2 linked regions of the Saccharomyces cerevisiae S288C genome follow. The protein of the gene in region 1 interacts with the protein of each later gene in a pairwise test. Each region holds a gene or a part of one and is shown in the gene's direction. Other genes may lie near its edges.

Region 1 (3,931 bases):
GATAATGAAAAAATAAATGCTTTAAATTATCACCGATCTGTGATAACAACGAATAAATAGACAATTCCGTTATTTGAGGACAATAAGAGAATTCTAAAGTTGTAATAGTTGTTGGCCATTTCGTATCAATCACAAATTCATTTGTTATACCTCCACTCAATTTCAAGTACCTGAGATTCTGTGGCCATTGAATATCTTGGAACCCTTGGCAGTCAATCGACGATCTGGGAAAAGATAAATGCGTTAATTTAGTGAAATTTTTAATGGCAGAAAATAACTCCTTCAGCTTAACTGTTTCCGATACTAAACCCAAGTCTAAAAATTTCAAATCATGACACGATTTCAATGAAATCAAAGGCGCGTAACCAAAGCTTGTCTGTGGTGCGATGAATTTAGTTAGGTTAGAACAGCATCGTCGTAAAAGCTTGGAGACAAATGAATTTCTACCACTTTGTAAAATTGTAGACAAGTTCAACTCAAAAACATAGTGTCCTAAATTCTTCTTTTTATTTATGATTATTGTATCAACAAACCCGTTGAAATTCTTACTTGTTAACGCTGGTGCATAATAAAGCTTTGGTAGACACATGGCGTACCAGTTTCTGCAAACTAGTAAGTAGTTCATATTTATACCAGTCGTAGTTTTTTTTCCATTAGCAGTTTTATTTAATTTTTCTTCTTTCTCTGGTATATCAAGATAATGAATTATTCTATGCTGTATCTCCCATGGCAAAACCATCTTTACTGATACTGAATGCATCCTCGCTTCCTCACTCTCTATGACTTTGCCATTTTTTTCTCCTTTGGAGGACGATGTCGATGATGACGATGGCGACTGCTTACGTCCTTTTTTATCCTTTTTTTCATTACTCAGTCGTGTCAATTTCACTATAGTATCATTGGTTTCATCATAGTAATAAGACCCCTGTGGAGTCTCAATGAGTTCTGCATCCTCCGGTATAGTGATAGTGAATTCTTTAGCCTTATTATCATTTCTTGTAGAGGAGAAACCCTCTCCCGCCACGTACTTCCTGTAAGGAGCCTTGATTTTCTTGGGTCGTGATTTGTTTGCCATTACTGAGTACTGTGGTTGATATGATTATGTGTTAGAGCTGTTGCACATGTTTGTCGATGTACAAATCTTGACGATGCCGTCATATTACTCTCAATACTAGACACATCTTGTATTGACAACCCTTACCCCTCATGAAGAGGTAACCCGGCCGCAGGGCTTTAACAATAAAATAGAGACTATCATTCAACAATTACACAGTAGAAAAAAGTCAGAAGATTACTAATCTCGATCTTAAGTCTATTAGTCAATTAAATGTGGCCTAGGATTCAACTAAAAATATAGTAGTAGTGAAAAAACAAATGTTCCAACCGAGGATCGAACTCGGGACCTTTGCCGTGTGAAGGCAACGTGATAGCCGCTACACTATTGGAACAATATTACGGATGACAGCTTAGGATTCATAAAGAACTAATAAAGGTGTGGCAATAAAAATGGTGCAGCAAGTCTCAACTTTACTGCTTCTTATAGTTACTTCCTGTCGTTTTCATCACACTAACCCTTTGTTTCATTGTGCTCCCCTTCCCTTCCTTTCAATATTGCTTCCTACATCGGTCACTCTTACTTTGGTAATGAAGTAATGAAGAAAGGAAAAATAGAAAATCGAATACTAAAAATGTTATTATTTAAGGAGAATAAGAACGTAGACACTTAAGGGCGATAGTGTTTGAACAGAAAAAAATTAACTTACAAAACATGAAGGACTTGAGATTACAGGGGCCCTACAGAAAGTACATTCCCTATAATATTTTCCAACAATGTGGAATTGGTCACTTAAAGACGCTTGATTATATTTTCGCGTTTTTGATTGTTATTACCAATTTCACATTAATATGGAAATCGCACTCTTCTTCATTCTGGAACCGACCATGGGACAATAATAGTGAACAAGAACTTTCCCAATTAATTCAGTTTTACCTAGACAAGGCTTTTTACATCCATGAATTGCCACCATTTACAATACAGTTCTACTCCATTATTCGAAGATTAAAGATCGCAGAAAATTTAAGATACGTTTCTTTGTTTTTGAATTCATCGACTTTAGGTTTTCTTTTCCTGATAACAAGGAGAATCAATTGCTCTCGTTTAATTTCAGCAACAGGTTTGCTGATATTATCCAACTGGGAAACTTTCAGAAATGAGGGCACTATTATATCATTTGACAGTTTAGAATGGTGTCTGTTCTCAGTAGTAATTTACAGTTTTATAAGCATTTCAATTGCAAAACTGGGAACTACGAATTGGTTTGCTAATGTGATTACATTATCTATTTCTTTAGGGCTGGCAATCTCTTCTAAATTTATTGGAATTGTCACTTGGGCCTTCGTAATTCTTTCTTTTGTACGTCAATTTGATAGACTGATAAGCGACGTTAAAGTTACGACCATCCAAATAATAAAATTTGTCATTCTCTGTCTATTATTCGTTTTGATTATCCCTGGTTCCATCTTCATAATAAGTTATTCGAACTTACTTTCGAATTTTAAGACAGACACGCCACAATTTTCAAAATATATGAGCACATATTTCAAGTCCTATTTAAGAGGCCCTCAAGTACAACCGAGTCGATTGTACTATGGATCAACGATCACATTACGTCATTTAGATTCTATGGTCGGATATCTTGCTTCTCACGATATTTCGTATCCATCAGATGTTGACGAACAGTTAGTAGCGTTATCATTTGAAGAATTCGCGGCAGACAATGAATGGTTAATAGAACATCCTACATTAAATTTGAGTTTTTCTGAGGTATACCATGCTGATCAATTGATACCTGTAGAATTTGGTCAAAGTATAAAACTAAGACACAAATCTACTGGAAAATTATTGAGAGCCAGCACTGCTAAACCTCCCATCAGCGAGCAGGACTATGACTTTCAAATTTCATGCACGAAAGATTCAAACTACGAAGGAGGAATGGATGAGAGATGGGATGTTCTCCTGATTAAAGATGAAATCAACAATGATAAAAAGGATAACGCAGATGATAAATACATTAAACCGCTTCAATCAGAGATACGCTTTTACAATAACGGCCAGAGATGTGGGCTATTGGGCCATGATCTTCGGTTACCTGAATGGGGCCGCTTTGAGCAAGAAGTCCTATGTATGGAGTACCCAGTAATACCAAGAACCACTTTTCTAATAGACTCAGTACAACTACCAGTCGATTTCCAAGTCCCAATGATAGAATATTATATCGGCAAAATAAGTTCTTCAGCAGAATTCAATCATACCTTATCTTGGTCACAATTTCTTTATCTTTTCAAAGAATATATTTTCAAACAATACAAGTACAATTACTATATTAAATACGGTAAAAATAAGGTCACTTTTGAAGATGCGTTCGCCGTGGAAAAATGGCCAATTACGTTAGACACAGACTCTCCAGTTTGGTTTAATTTTGCATGGTATGGATCCTTACTCTCGATGATCATTTTCATGTGCGTGCAATGTAAGAGAATGATATCTTGGAATCCGTGGACAACTGCTGAACCTTCCTTTTCTATCAAATGGGAGGTCTACAATGAATTTGGCTGGGAGTGCATTGTCGGTTGGTTTTTACATTTTTACATCTTCACAATGAGTCCACACTTCAACTTGGGGAAAAAACTGTACTTCCAAAGTTTTTTCTTTAGTGTATTGTGTCTTTTAGAATCGTTAGATTGCCTTGCAAAGTAACTCGTAGAAAGATTTTCTCCATTATGATTTTTCTCCCATTGCTTCAATAATTCTCCGGTACAAATAGAGTAGCACAATTATTTATAAGAATAACATACATACGCTTAACTCTGCCATATAACTATAGTACATTTTCTGTCCTCTGTTCGCAAATTTCTTTGTAAAACTTAAGTT
Region 2 (3,931 bases), on another chromosome or scaffold:
CCGAAGATCGCATAAGAGGCACGCCTCTTATCAATTTCTTTATAGGCGGCTACCGCCAGTGGAGTAAAATTCACGCCTTTTTTGTCCACTCCTTTTTCCGTAAATATTACATAATTAAATAGTCACAGCTCTTACGCACCTGTTTGGCCGCACATGAGAGTTAAACGCAAACTCCGCCGAGGCGTCGTTTTTCTAGCTGCTGCTTCACGTTTTATGGAGTCATATTCTGGTCTAAAAAAATTATACTAGGCAGGTAATGGATTGTTTTAAGTTTCTTGTTAACTCACATAGGATCTTTTTTGAGTACCTTGTGAAATGGTTAGATTTGATACCTTATTTTTTTCCAACATTACATTATTTTAGTATCGTTCAAGTTCTCCTTTACTTTTAGAGATTACGCCTACATTATGTATGCCGAACTTAGTAGGAACTATTTGTACGCAAAACATGAATTGTTTGTCGTGTCTGCATACATTAGTGTTGACAGTCAGAGAACTTGATTTTAAAAATAAAAGTTTCTTGTTTACAAAAAAGTATGGTCACCCGGTGTCTTTGCTATAATGGGAACAGAAAACCATTTGCAAGACTACTAAAATACGATTTTGTAATTTGACGTTACAAATATAGGGATAGTTGATAAATAGTTACGCGCAGTTAACTTTTCCTCACCAAAGGACAGTTATTTACCTACTGATTGAAAATGTTTTGGCACAGGATACCAGTTTTCAAATTTATTAATTAATTAAGGAGAAGTGAGAAATGATTAGAAAGCAATTAAGCGGTGAAGGTCTGCTTTTTATACTTACAAGAACGTATTATTAGCAGCCAACGCACTACAGTTGTTGACTAAGTTTTGTTTTAATTTGATTCGTAGTTGTTGGTCGAATTTTGTTTTGACTTGTTTTCAGTTTCTTTTTTTTTAATGCCTGACGTTGAAGAGCACGCAGGCCTATGAAAAAAAAAAATTATACGAGTTACTTGGAATTCGCTCCCATTGCACCAATTTCAGGAAGCGATCAAAAAGAAAGCAATGTTATTCAACATAACTTTATTCATACTGTAGTAACAATAACTTCATATCAATTAGGATTCACTGTTCATTGACTTATCACTACAATATGGAGGAAACGTTGCGTAATCGTTGTCGCTATAGATATTGTCCCTCCCTTCCTCTGTGATAGTTCTTCTTTATATAACTTTCACAAAAGCTTCTGCCCTCATAGTTGCCCTCAATAAACGAAAGGCCAGATGCATACAGGTGCAGTAGTACATCCAAAGAAACATAGGGGCAAAAACCGTGTTCTAATATTAGACTGCATATATCCCCTTGTCATTAGCTTAAATCATATAGAGTAATATGTACATACAGGTTATTTTATTTGTAGCTTTCCTCCTCTTTATGGAGCAAAGTAAGCCATACGAACGGTTTACAATAGAGAGCGTCGTTTGCTTACGTGATTGTCATGTGCCTTCGTAGGCAAAGGGGATTGCACACCTTTTTACTAAACAATAGAAAAGTGAGAATTCTCTTATAGGCACTGCTGCTCCTCGTTTCTTTTTACGCGCTGTCGTTCCAGGTCCTTTTTTCGATTAACTACGGTAGTTTCAAAGAGAGTGCCTGAAGATCACTCCATATACAGGCTAGATGAACTGTAAACGAGCTCATCAGCAGCGTCCCTTTCAGTGTCACTACAGCCACAGCAGCTTACCTCCTGTACGATGTGACAGAGCAAAACACAAATGTGTGTCCTTTCTACTCTTATTTTCCAACTCGAATATAAAGACGGTGCCTTTGCCTTATTTCTAAGGCACTGAACAGTTCTAAAAGTAAAGTTTTCCCTAGCCTTAGTACCGTTTCTGTGAAGCAGTTATTGAATAGTTATTGGACATAAAAATCCATATTGAAAAAAAAAAAAACATACTTGAGAAGGCATTAGCTGAATAGTAAAGACTGCTGTAATTCATCTCTCAGTCCTTGCAGTCTGCTTTTTCTGGAATTAATATGTCAATTTCAAAGTACTTCACTCCCGTTGCTGACGGGTCACTCACTTTCAATGGCGCGAACATTCAATTTGGCGCCGATGCTCAAGGCGAGTCAAAAAAGAGTTATGACGCTGAGGACAGCATGCCGAATCCGGCAAATCAACTAAATGACATAACCTTCCAAGCAGAGGCTGGTGAAATGGTTTTGGTTTTGGGTTATCCCACATCCACTCTATTTAAGACTTTGTTTCATGGTAAAACTAGTTTGTCATACTCTCCTCCAGGCTCGATTAAATTTAAAAATAATGAGTTTAAGAGCTTTTCCGAAAAATGTCCCCACCAAATCATTTACAATAATGAACAAGATGTGCATTTCCCATTTCTAACGGTAGAACAAACAATTGATTTTGCCTTGAGTTGTAAGTTCGATATTCCAAAAGGTGAGCGCGATCAAATAAGAAATGAACTTCTAAGAGAATTCGGCCTGTCTCATGTATTGAAAACTATTGTAGGAAATGATTTTTTCCGTGGTGTTTCTGGTGGTGAGCGTAAACGTATTTCTATTATTGAAACGTTTATTGCTAATGGTTCCGTTTATCTATGGGATAATTCTACTAAAGGTTTAGATTCCGCCACAGCTCTCGATTTTTTGGAAATTCTTAGAAAAATGGCAAAAGCTACTCGTTCTGTAAACTTAGTCAGAATTTCCCAGGCAAGTGATAAAATTGTTGATAAGTTTGACAAGATTCTTATGCTATCCGATTCCTACCAGCTTTTCTATGGTACGGTCGATGAGTGTTTGACTTATTTTCGTGACACTTTAGGTATTGAGAAAGATCCTAACGATTGTATTATTGAATATCTGACCTCTATCTTAAATTTTCAGTTCAAAAATAAAAATTTGGGGAATTTATCAAATTCATCATCTGCTAGCGTTCTCAAAACCGCAACAGGGGAAGTCACTAAGTATACTTATAATTCTGATTTCGATTTATATGATCAATGGAAACATTCTTCGTACTATAGAAATATAAAGCAGCAAATCCAGGGGTCTTCAATTGATGACTCCATTAAGGAAGTGGATCCCTCTGATGTCTCACCTATTTTTAATATTCCGTTGAAGAAACAATTATTATTTTGCACAAAAAGAGCTTTTCAACGAAGTTTGGGTGATAAAGCTTATATGACGGCACAATTTATTTCTGTCGTTATTCAATCTTTGGTCATTGGTTCACTGTTTTACGAAATTCCGTTGACTACCATTGGTTCATACTCAAGAGGTTCTTTAACCTTTTTCTCCATTCTTTTCTTCACTTTTCTTTCTCTTGCAGATATGCCTATTGCCTTCCAAAGACAACCCGTCGTTAAAAAGCAATCCCAACTTCACTTCTATACTAACTGGGTTGAAACCCTTTCAACAACAGTGTTCGACTACTGCTTTAAACTTTGTTTGGTAATTGTATTCAGTATCATCCTATACTTCCTTGCTCACCTGCAATACAAGGCTGCAAGATTTTTCATTTTCCTCCTGTTCCTTTCCTTTTACAATTTCTGTATGGTGTCCTTATTCGCTTTGACGACACTAGTTGCTCCAACCATTTCAGTTGCAAATTTATTTGCAGGTATTCTGCTACTAGCTATAGCAATGTATGCTTCTTACGTCATCTACCTGAAAAATATGCATCCTTGGTTTGTATGGATTGCTTATCTAAATCCTGCAATGTACGCTATGGAGGCAATACTGTCTAATGAGCTTTACAATTTGAAGCTGGATTGTAGTGAGACAATTGTTCCAAGAGGTCCTACTTACAACGATGTTCCATTTTCCCATAAGGCCTGTGCTTGGCAAGGTGCTACTCTGGGTAATGATTACGTTAGAGGCCGTGATTACTTGAAGCAAGGTTTATCCTACACGTATCATCATGTGTGGAGAAACTTTGGTATTATC

Evidence for each region.
Region 2: the proteins of PMT7 (region 1) and AUS1 interact in a protein complementation assay, tested with the Saccharomyces cerevisiae proteins (one study listed by BioGRID).

What each region holds. Positions count from the first base shown.
Region 1 is NC_001136.10:1,074,097-1,078,027, forward strand, and holds PMT7 (putative dolichyl-phosphate-mannose--protein mannosyltransferase), read left to right. Parts: upstream 1-1,768; coding exon 1,769-3,757; downstream 3,758-3,931. Other genes in the region: PFU1 (Pfu1p), read right to left, coding at 1-1,075; SRB7 (Srb7p), read right to left, coding at 3,931-3,931. UniProt on the Saccharomyces cerevisiae protein: Probable protein O-mannosyltransferase involved in O-glycosylation which is essential for cell wall rigidity. Transfers mannose from Dol-P-mannose to Ser or Thr residues on proteins.
Region 2 is NC_001147.6:347,677-351,607, forward strand, and holds the start of AUS1 (ATP-binding cassette sterol transporter AUS1), read left to right. Parts: upstream 1-2,002; coding exon 2,003-3,931. UniProt on the Saccharomyces cerevisiae protein: Transporter involved in the uptake of sterol.